2 linked regions of the Rattus norvegicus genome follow. The protein of the gene in region 2 interacts with the protein of the main gene of each other region in a pairwise test. Links are inferred from orthologs where the notes say so. Each region holds a gene or a part of one and is shown on either strand. Other genes may lie near its edges.

What was found. The genes of interacting proteins can lie anywhere in the genome.
Region 1: the proteins of Prpf31 (region 2) and Bicd2 interact in binary tests that used the Homo sapiens proteins (3 or more experiments, as listed by UniProt). The link is inferred for Rattus norvegicus from reciprocal best matches to the Homo sapiens genes PRPF31 and BICD2.

What each region holds. Positions count from the first base shown.
Region 1 is NC_086035.1:15,482,294-15,488,141, forward strand, and holds part of Bicd2 (protein bicaudal D homolog 2), read right to left. Parts: intron 3,033-5,848; coding exon 2,820-3,032; intron 1-2,819. UniProt on the Homo sapiens protein: Acts as an adapter protein linking the dynein motor complex to various cargos and converts dynein from a non-processive to a highly processive motor in the presence of dynactin.
Region 2 is NC_086019.1:74,491,268-74,497,115, forward strand, and holds part of Prpf31 (U4/U6 small nuclear ribonucleoprotein Prp31), read right to left. Parts: intron 5,608-5,848; coding exon 5,450-5,607; intron 5,116-5,449; coding exon 5,026-5,115; intron 2,908-5,025; coding exon 2,780-2,907; intron 2,694-2,779; coding exon 2,621-2,693; intron 2,106-2,620; coding exon 1,977-2,105; intron 1,892-1,976; coding exon 1,793-1,891; intron 927-1,792; coding exon 801-926; 3' UTR 1-800. UniProt on the Homo sapiens protein: Involved in pre-mRNA splicing as component of the spliceosome. Required for the assembly of the U4/U5/U6 tri-snRNP complex, one of the building blocks of the spliceosome.

The DNA.
Region 1 (5,848 bases), on a different chromosome or scaffold from region 2:
TTTGTGTGGCCACAGCCCTCAGGGCAAGGTCCGAGTCACACCATTGCCTCAGGGCTTACATGGTAGGAATTAGAGACTAGAAGGCAGTCCAAGGCACGAAATGGCAGTTTCCACATGGCGAGGGCAGAGTGCAGCTCATGTGGTTGAAGGAGGAGGCAGAAGTAGGGGCTTGAGTGCCCAGGTTCAGAGCTGCACGGGAGTGTTATCTCCTACAGCAGTGCCCGGATGGTCTGTGAGTCCTCAGCGCCTCTATAAACCTGACCTTCCTGAGGCTCTCTAGGAGTTCTATTCTTCTCCCACTGCTAGACCCAGGTCCAGGGCACAAGCCAAAAGGAGTTTCCCTTTGGTGGAGTGTATGAGCTTGCATGGACCTGTGGATGGGTATCCTTGTGGAAAGACAAGCAAAGAGAAATGTGCACGTAAGTCATGTGCTAGCAAGGTAACATCATGTGGCAGGTTAACTGCATCTTCTCTGCTGACTGTACAGCACTCAGACATACACTTTCTTTCTATGGAGACAACTTCCAACCCCAGTCACCAGGCTTAGCAGAGATGTTCAGCTGGCCTGCTGCCTGCCACCTCCACCCATCACATGCCCAGTTCCTGAGAGCTCCAGCAGGCTCCAACTAGCCACAGGGGTTTAGTTTTCTCTCAGAAAAGCATCTCCTCCCAGGGTGCAGGGTACAGGCTCTGCTCTGTGCAGATGACCAGCCCAGATATAAGCAGTGGGCATATGGACTCAGAGCCACCACCTGAGGTCCTAGCCACCTGCTTTCCTTCACCTGGACCCCTGACTTCAAGCTGTTCGCCAGCACGAAGGGTGTGACAACCACCTGTCTCAGGAGGCCACTGTGTTAGGGGACTGTCAATCCTTTTCTTGGTCTCTTGAGCTCCCAATCCTTCCCACACAGGACACTTATCCATTAATCACGTAGGGGAGCACTCTTGTCCTCTACTGGGACCAGTGGGACTCCAGTAATTCATCTGAGAAACAGTGTCCTGTCTGCAACAAGACATTCCTCAAATGCCCATCTACCTACCAGGAATAATGCCAATAAGACGAAAACTGACTGAGTTATCTACTACTGGTTCTTCACTCAGCACAGAGATCACAATCAGGACCTAGAATTATTCCACCACAATGTAAGCCTCAGTTTCCCCATGTGACCAAACCCGGAGAGGGCCATTAGAATGAAAGGGTCTAGACATCAGAACTATCTGACACAGGTAAGTTGCCTGGTGCTGTAAAGTTGACCCTGGCTTTAGCCATCAGTCCGGCAAAGCACAGGCCACAAGGGTGTGCTGGAGTCAAGCCTCTACATGGTTGGCCCAAGAACTCTGACCCAAGTGCCATCAACAGCAGGGAGTAGTCACTTCCCCTCGTGTGGGGTCCTTGAGGTCTTGAGCTCAGTCTGAATGGGGGTGGGGAAAGGCAGCTTCCACTCCTGGAGCCCAGTGCATGATCTCATTTCCTCCCACAGTGTGGCTCTGGTGAGGGTGGAGGAGGGGCTGTCACTGAGGAAGAGAAACAGCCCCACTGACAATCCATCTGTCTACCCCTCCTTCCTGAAAGGCCAGTGCACGACTGTCTCCCACATTCAGCCCCTAGGCAACCTAGGCTGGATGGCCGTTCAGGGCCGGAAATGAAGTCAGTGGATTGAAGACAGCAGGTCTGGGGTGGAGGAGAGATCCCTGTTGTTCCTGTTTATGCTTTAGAAGGAAATCCTGAGTCTCCCTACACACCCTTAGCTGCCTTTGCTTTTAAGTGTCCCCCTCTCTGCAGCCCAGCCACAGGCAGCCCGCCAGCCCTCACCACCTACACACCTGTCTAGGGAGAGGTCTGCTCTCACCACCGTTGACACTGTTCTTAGATCTGTTTTGTCCTTTGCTGTTGTCTCCTGGCCTAGCATGACTGTCCCCTAATTGCCCAACACTGGCCCCTCTGGGTTGGATTTGGTCTCGCAGGTATGTGGGGATTCCTTACGACCTTTCCTACCACCTTCCTCCTAACAGCCTCTCCCATTTTCCCTCCCCTGTGACTTCCTGCTTGGGACACAGCTGCCTCCAGGGCCCTGACGACAGCACACCCTCATGCCTGCATCCTGCTGACTTCTGTCAGAACATATGCTGCAGAGGGTAGGCTTCCACAGCTAGAAATGGGCAGGGAGAGCTTGGAAGATGTGTAGTGAAGGAGCACAGTGTCTCCTACAAAGGGTTTCAGAGACTGGAGACAAGGCTTTGTCTAAGCCTCTAGAGCAATGAGGGCTAAAGTCAGTGTTATCCCAAGCCTGAAGGATCCTGAGCCTAACTCCCAATACCATGGACAGGTAGGCAGACCTCAGCCAGGAATCTAGCACGTGGAGACTTCTAGTAATGGGTCCTCAACCTCTTTCCTCAAAGTTCCACAGTGTCTCCATGGCTTTTGGCTGATCTCTGTCTGTGACTACCAAATCACAAGTTGGGCCACTCATTATTCAGACTGCACTACTAGACCTTGACATTCCTCCTTGCACATGGTGTGGCCTACCACTCACTCATGCACAGCCAAGCCCTGTGTGACAAAAACCAAACAGACAAAAAACCAAAAACCATTCTTCAAACAAAAGTCAACCAATGACAAAGCATCCTGTGGACACTAGGTCTAACCCCATGAGGGGCCGATCATCATGCTAGTCAGGGCCTGCCAGAGGGCTCATGACACCACTGAGGAGGGCACAGTTCAGGCACAGAACTGTTTGTGTGTTAACTGAGAGACCACAGGAGCAAGATGCAGCCTCAGTGAGCCTGCTTCAGTGAGAGACGTTGCCCCATCCACTTACCTCTTTCAGCTCCTGGGCCACAGACGTGAGGCGCTCATTCTCAGACTGAGTGTTGATAAGGACATTGCGCAGCTGTTTCAGCTCTGTCTGCAGCTCCAGCACCTTCCGCACATAGTACTGCTCCTTAGAGGCGGACTCCTGGATCAGGCTCTCCTCCCGGCTCTCTCCATCAGCAGCCACCTTCTTGTGGTTTGTGTGTGCCTGGCCAAATGCCTGCGTGGAGAAACAAGACATTTTATGAGATGGGTGTCCTGGGGCTGCAAAGCAATGGAGACCCAAGACCACAAGGAACGCGAAGGCCCTTGACCTGGGAAGCACTTCTTTTTTTTTTTTTTTTTTTTTTTTGGTTCTTTTTTTCGGAGCTGGGGACCGAACCCAGGGCCTTGCGCTTCCTAGGCAAGCGCTCTACCACTGAGCTAAATCCCCAGCCCCTGGAAAGCACTTCTATGTTGTGCATGTGTTAAAACACACACTGCGATGCACGTGCCAGGCACGCTTCATTACAGTGAAACTATACTAGTCTCGGGGGCACCATGTGGTGGGACAGGAAGGAGCATGAAAGATGTAAGGCTGCAAACACACATGGGACTCCATAAAGAACTAAGTTTGAGGCCCGAGGGTGCGTCCCAGCTGGAAAGTAACCAGGACAAGGAAATGGCTGGTCTATACTTTGAGCCTAGACAAGCTAGCAGGGACCAACCCCAGAGCACACCCAAAGGTGAGCAGCTGGCCCATCCTGCTACCTGAGGTCAAATCATCATTTGTTCTGGGACAGACGGGGGCTGGGCACCCGGGCCCCCATCCCTAAGGGCAGGGCACAGTAGCAATTAGCTAACCTGGTCACCTAAGGGTGTGTGAGATGCACATACCTGCGTGTTTCATACATAGGCGAGGAGCGAGTGTGTCAGGCCCTGGGATGCGGGAAGAAAACCTATCAAGTACAGCAGCTAGCAAGAAGTGCTGGCCTCGCCCACCACAGCATGGCAGTCCCAGCATGGGCAGCAGCTATGCTGTGTCTAGACCCTGAGCCCCTGGGAGCCTGGCCCCCATCACATGACCTCTGAGGGCTGCCCCACCTCCTGGGCCTTCCTTCCCTGACTCTTTGTAGGACCCGTGGCTCGTGACAAATATAAGAGAAGAGCTCCTGAAGAACAAGAAAATGATGGCTTTTACTATTTTTAAAAGTAAAACAGAATTTTTTTCACTTATTACTTCACAAATCTAGGATTTCAGACCAAGAAAACAATGAGCAAAACATACAAAGCCACATTGTACAGGGATGTCACAGAGCTGAGAAGTTTCTAATACTAACACATGAAAATTCAGAAAGCAATTCCTTTTTATTCTGTCAGGGAACTGGCAGAATGGAGTAGGGCCTGATCTGAGGCAATATGCTGTGTCCCAAGAGACTACAGGAAGGCCTCACAACAGGCCAGAGGACAACACAGTCCAGGAGCTCCAGGGCTGGCACTGGAGCGTGTGTGGAGGGGTGACCTGGGGCTCACAGTGCAACACTGCTGCAGCAGACTGTGGATATCCAAGTCACCTGCGAGGTGGCCGGGTCTGCTCATTTGCTTTCAGTCCCCAACACTCCATCTACTCTGCCCAAATCACAGCAGCTCAGCTTTTGTGACTTCTGGTCTGTTTGCCTTTACCCCGATCCTATGGAAGGATCAAGCCACAACTTGAACCTGCACAGCAGCTGGCCCACGCTGCCTGTCCACCACTATGAGACACAAAGGAAATCAAGTCCCAAGCTGGCCCCAACCTAGGGCTCTGGGAACTGTACTGAAGAGTCCAGCACCTGTGGCTCCTTGAGACACACCCGTCAACTTAGGAGTTGGGACAAGGACAACTCAGAAGTTTTCCCAAAGTGTGATGGCTAAGCACTATGACACAATATTCAAGCCTAGGCCTGCCAACCTGGGCCCTGACTTCCTCCACCCAAGCTACCAGCCTGGGGCACAGGAGCAGCCCCAGCAGCTTTTCAAACGTACTGTGATGGAGACATCTACCTCCAACTGAGAAGATAGTCACAGGGACAGACACTACTTCCTGTGTGAGAAACTACAATCTGGAAAGTACAGGAGCAAGATGATGGAACAGGATGGTGAGGCAAGAGCCTCTGCCGTCATGCCTTACCCTCCTTACTATACACCTGTCCTGTGACGTCCAGTGTGCACCACAGCGTATGCATGCCAGGCACACACATTCACAAATAGTTTCAAATATGTACCGGGGAAAATGACAGGATGAGGGGAGTCCCCCAACAGCCTTCATGCCTTCAGAGGAACTTCAGGGCATGGCATACAACAGGACTGAGGCAGATGGCAGGGCCTGTGGAAGAAGACCACAGACAGGGCAGCAAGGGCAGCCAGAACTAAGGACCAGATGAGTCAGCGAAGGGTTAAGGAGGCCGTGGGAAAGTTCAAGCCCTGACACAAGTCTGAAAACAAGCTTGTCCCACCACCAAGGTGGACCCCGACTCACAGGCTCAGAGATCATGTCTGGAGAATCAGCCTGAATTACACGCTGCTGTGGTGCATCAGAGCAGAGTGTAAAGACAGACATGAAGGACTAATCCATGTCCTAGCCATTACACCCTACAACACGCTCAGACCACGCTCAGGAAAACAAGCCCGTCCGTCCAGCTGCCACAGGTAAGCTTCATGGGGAAGACCCAAGAAAGAACTGTTCCTCAGCAGACAGCACACAGCCCTGAGCAGAGGGCTGAGACTCGGGGACTAGAACCCTCAATCAGGAGCACAGAGCAAACGGAGGACACAAAAGATCCCAGTAGCACTTCTGTAGAGGAAAGCAGGGCCAACAGCAGGCACACTGCATCACAAAGGATTAACCAACCCTGAAAGGCAGCCAAAATGAGGGCCCAAATGAAAAAATAAAATAAGTCAAAGCCTAATAAACCAGAGAGAGCAAACATGGAGTGTGTACCAATTTCAAGGAGCCAATACATCACCTCATCACATTGCCAAAGTTCCAGCAACTTTTCATAGAAAATGACCAGTTCA
Region 2 (5,848 bases):
ATGAAGCCCCAGTTTGCAAATCAAACTGGGTAGTGTGCACTGCACTTCTTTTGCTTACCTGGCATTGGTACCTCATAGGGCAGGGTACCCACTTGCCTCACCCTTGCTGAGGACCTAGGTGTGGCCCCCTAACGAACATGAATTAAAAATAGGCTGCACCATGAATGCAGTACTGGGTGGTGCTTTCTGAACATACTTCCCAAACCTTTTAGGTGCTTCACTTTGTGTGGGTGAAGTTTCTAGCCTGAGGGACAATAATCCTCTGGCTCTTGTTGGGTCCGGAATTTTGTGGTGGCCATACTGTTTGGCCATGATGCTGATGTTCTCATTAAGTGTGGTGTTAAGAGATAGACAGGGTTTTTCTTAGATTCCAGGACAAGAGCAAAAGAGAGCTGGGTCCATGCTACTCACTCTGGAAGCCCCACAGCTCTGAGTCCTCTGGTTCTTTCATAAACAAATCATACCCTCTGTTCAGAGCTAGACACTATGCATTTAATTGTATTCAGTCTAAAAAAAAAAAAAAAAAAAAAAAAAAAAAAGCACTTCCTTTTTCCCCTGTAAGTAAAAAAGCTGAGTGTGTGGAAGACCTTCCTGCCCGATTGGAACAGCAGCAGCATGAGTGCTGGGGGAGACAGGCTAAGGTTCTTCATCCTTTTCTTGGATGCTGTGGCCTTGGGCCAAGGACAGAGCATGGAAGGCTGCCTCCACCACACCAAACTTCCTGGCTGGATATCTGTCACTTCAGAAGCTCCAGTCCTTTATGTCCTTTCAGTGGATGGCCACCTGGGCTGTGGGCCCCTTCAAGTAGACATGGTGCCACTTTTCTCACCCTTGACCTTGAGGAACTCGGCCATGCTAGAGAAATACTTCTGATTGGCCTCTGCCACCTTCTTCTCGGCTGCTTGTGGGTTCACAATCTCCAGACCCTGGGTTGGAAAGGAAGAGGGTGACAGGTAAAGTAGGGAAGCTCAAACCTCCCTCTAGAATGAAAACCAGACATGCAGAGTCTCCCAGACACTCTTGTGGACAAGGAACCATTTATAGTCAGTAAAGACTCCCTCAATTTGGGAGAGTTTTGACCCAGTGGATGTAGGGGTAGGTCCTGGATATCAGAACTGTTAACCTTGTGTGATGCTAAAATCACCACTCCTGCCTGGTTCTAGATAAGGAAACTGAATCCCAGAGGGACGTAGCCAGCCAGTTTCCTGCAAATCCCATACCATCACAGTGGTGACAATGCCAGCACTATCTTGATTGTTTCTGGGCTTTCCCTGGCCCCATCACCTTTCACTCCTGCTTTTCCCTGACACCCATGCCTTCAAATACATTGTGTATTAGACTCAATCATATGTACTCTCCAACCCACAACACCCCTCTCCCCACAAAGCAAAGCTTGTCTCTTTGTAGGCAGCTGCTCAGTAGGCAGTTCTGGCAAGCTGGGAGCTCTTTAGTTCCTTGTGACATTATGGGACACACTTGCCTATCTCTCTGGTAAGTAACCTGAGGCCATTCTGCTTCACACTGCTCAGTGCTACTAGTATGATACTCAAGCCCACCCTGATGACCTTGACTACAGGGCTATCTTAAAGCAAAGACTGGGAAGCTCAGAGAGTATCTGGATCACACAGGCAGAGTCCTAGGCCTGGTTCCAAAGTTGGTCTGAGCTTGTCACAACTGTCACGGTCAACTGTTGGGCACTTACTGTGCGGCTATGGATGCCTAAGCTCATGTGCTAGCTCAACAGGCCTCCACAGCAGCCTTATCACATGCCTGGTAGAAAAGGGTACGGTACCTGGAGTGGAGTGAAGGCCACACTAGAGGCAGTCCCCGAGGAGCGGTCACGAATTGTTGACTTCCCACCATACACCACACTCTGTTTCTGTAAGGTCCGCTGTAAGGGAAAGAAGAGGCTGTGATTCAAGCTTACTGACCTCCATGTCCCATTTGCCTCCCATTCTCATGGGCCCAGATCATACCTGTAGTGTCTTGGAGATCCTAGCCTTGGTGGCCTCATTCACCTGTGTCTGCCGCACACGCCCACTGCCTGACTTGCCCAAGTGGCCCAGGCTAAAGCCCAGGTCTTCTTGATAGGCATCCTCCTCAATCTGGTGAGATAGGAGTAACCTGCTGTTAAGAAGCTAGGTATATTCAGCCGTACCCTGGGGCAGTCCACTGAGAACCCACAGATTCTCCAATCAGCCAGTCTCATGGGCATCACCTCATTAGCCAGGCTGCACTAAATAATCTTTTAAGAGCCTACCCTAACTCTGCTTGGGTATAGCTAGGAACCCTGGGAAGAACTAGTTCCTGACCTGAGTAGAGTAGTCATTTTTTTCTCTACATTCAGATTAGGTTGCCAAGAATTGGGATGAGCTGCACTACTAAGGTAGCACCTACATTTATTCTTTCAGGACCACCTAGATGATAGATATAGATGCAGCCTGGGAAGCTGCAAAGATCACCATGGAGGTGGTTTGAGAGGAGAGGCCAGTCAGGATGGAGGAGGCTAGGGTAGCCCTAGATCTGCTGTTGGATTACAGGGTAGAGAGGAGGGATAGCAGCAGGATGTGCAAAGAGAAGATCCTACAAGGTCCTATTGGTGCTATGGATGGAACCTGACCTCTCCAAAGCTCATGCGGTTGGCCTGCTTCCGGATCTCAGTCAGTCCTAGCCGTTCTTTCATCTTGCGGTACCTAGGGTAAGGTGGGTATCAACAGGATATAGGCAGTTGGCTGGGAAGAAGTTTCCCTTTCCCAACTCCAAACATCAAACTCCTTACCTTCGGCCCCCTCGCTTCTTCCGCTGCCCATCAAGGGGTGCAGGCAGGGGCTTCACCTGCTTCACAGGTGGTGGCTCCTGCCACTTGTCAAACTTGCGCTCAATCTCGTCCTTTAGTTCATAGCCCACCTAGCAGGGAGTTGAGAAGCTGTGGCCAGCAATGTAGACTGTCCCCTCAGCTGCACATCTACGTATCATCAACCCATTTACTGTATATCTGACCACCTGATGGTGTACCCTCCCAAAGACATGTTCTCCCTTTCTCCAGGAATGGTATCCTGTGGGTTCCAGTGTCTACTGCTCTTGAACTTGTAGCTTAGCCTTCACATCTAAGCTCTGCACCCTCTGGAAAATTTCCTCTGCCTGAGTTCTTCAAACATAAATGGGCCAGGCAGAATCCCCATATCCCTAGTCAACAGACAGAATGTCATCTCCACTGTCTTACTACCACACTACTGATCCCCTGGCCTCTTAGAGCAGGTCCCAGCTAGCTTGCTTTCCAGTACCTCCACAGCAGCCAGAGGCCTCCAGAGGTTGTACATATCTGCTCCTGGGTACAGCAAGTTCCTCTCCCTGCTGGGTTTCACCAAACTCTGGCCTCAGGTTCTTTGCACTCACTATTCCCGCTGTCTGGAACACTCTTCCAAGTAGATAGCACAAGTATCCACAGAACTGACTGTAACTTCACACAGGCCCATACTAAAATTTCCTCAAAGCTCTTCTTCACATCCTAAGTCAGTCAAAATCTAAGCTTCCTCACCCCACAATTCCCCTTATTGTCCCTGGTATTCACACAGCACTACTGAACCCACTACAGGTTCTTTTCAGGACTACTGCCTTGTTTTGGTCCCAACTAGAACATAAATGCTGTGTAACCACTGACCTCCATTCCTAGCTACCAGGGAAGCTGGGGCAGGAGGATCAAAAATCCTTCAAAGCTTTCCTGGACTAGAGATGAGACCTGTCTTGAAAAGGGTGAGGGTGAGGGTGAGCTGAGGATGCAGCTCAGTGGTAGATCAGTTGTATAGTACGTGTAGAGTCCTAGGTTCAATCCCAGTATGCCCACCACAGACATATACAAGAGCCATGGAGGCAGACCTCTGACACCTATGTAATCCCCTGCTGTATGCTGCCTTGTTTAGAAAGTGGTAAAAGGCAAAAGAGACTAAACCCCTGACTTGGGCTATAATGTAATTTCTAGTAGGGAAATGCACACAACACTATTTCTTAAGCCTACCCAGAAAAACAGAAGGTATCACTGGAATCATGCCCCTGCTAGCACAGGACAGGTCCTACTGTAGTGGGCAAAACACTGTTCCCTCAAACACAGGGCTCCACCTTGGTGTCAGGTATCCTGGTCTCTAGAATTCGTGGCTACAGTTCACATGGCAGAGGATCTTTGCAGATGTGATTAAGGACTGAGATGTGACAGTACCTTGTATTGACAGTATGAGCTCAACAAAGGGCCCAAAACGAGCAGTCAGGGGCTGAAGGTGCTGCCTTGCCTAGTAAACTCTGATACAGACAGGGGCAGGAGTGTTTCTTCCCAGGAGCCTACAAATGGGAACTGCCCGTCTAACACCTAATGTTAGTCCAGTGAAACTGTGTACGTGCACATGCGTGCACCCACAAAACACCAAAGATTTGGTATCACATGGCTTCTACACTACCTCCTTACCTTATTTCTTGAGACAGGGTCTCTTCACTGAATCTGGAGCTTACTGATTTGGTTGAGAGGCCTACAAGCTCCAAATGTCCTCCCTCTTCCATCTTCCCAACAATGGGGTTAGTTAGTGGTATGTACTATTGGGCCTGTTTGTTTTTTAACAGGAGTACTAGGAATTGAACAAGTCTTCAACGCTTGCATGCAGGAACTTAAGTTATGGAGTCACATCTCTGGCTCTGTGCTTTTTCCTTTTTCAAAGACAAGATCTTACTATGCAGCCCAGTCTAGCCTGAAATTTATTATATAACCCAGACTGCCGAAAACTAGTGACCTTTCTGCCTCTGCCTCCCAAGTACTGATGTTAAAGATATGAGCTAGCAGGTCTACCAAACTTTTATATGTAGTTACTCCATCTACAGTGAGTTGTCATAGCTGTTCTATAACTGATAGACAGAGCTGAGAATGTGATGACCTTAGTTGGGGTTGAGACACACACTGCCGTCTGCTAGTCTGGACAGCTCTCTGAAGTAGCATCTTCCTATGAAAAGACCCCAAGCACAAGGAAAAGATCTTCTCCTCACCTTCCCCTCTGTGCTCTCATGGAAACTGTCCACACGAGCTGCCAGTGTACATTTGGCAGCCACTAGGCGGGCTGCCTTCCGCCGAAGATCCTAGAGCAATGGGAAGGGGAAAGGAAACTGAACCTCTAGCAAAGGTAACAGCCACTACAATAATCACTTCTCATCTAGGGCCAGCCATACCCCAGACTCTGGGAGGTAGGCCTTATGCCTGTGCGCTTTCCTAATAACTGCCTCTTGAGGGGTATGCTCTAGCTGCCCCTGGTTTCCAGCCACCCAACCATCCTCATTGCCAAGTGGCAGACCCAGAATAGTATCCTTGCTCTTCCAACCATGTTGCCTCATCCTCCAGGAGCCTGAGGGCTATTGCCAGCCAAGCCAGATAAGGCCTAGTGGCTGGGGCTAGGGGTCAAGGTGAAGTACTCACTGGGGGCAGAGACTGCACAATGTCACTGTGGTAGATGTAGCCAGTGTGAGGCAGCACTGAGGTAGAAGAGAAGCCAGACAGTGTCTTGCGCTGGGCTCCCAACAGCATGATGTTGCAGGCAGGCATCTTAGACAGGTTGGTCAGCCCTCCAGCCACACCTGCAAAAAGAGGTGAGGTCAGAACACAGGGTTTACATCCAGGAACTCATGTATACCTTTGTGGATTAAGTAAGAATGTCCCTCATAGGCTCATACAGTCACCACAAAGTAAAACTCATTGATAGATTAGAAGGTTCAGAAGGCATGGCCTTGTTGAAACAAGTGTGTCACTGGGGGTGGGCTTTGAGGTTTCAAAAGTCCACGCCAGGTCCAATGTCTCTCTCTCTCTGCTTGTGGTTCA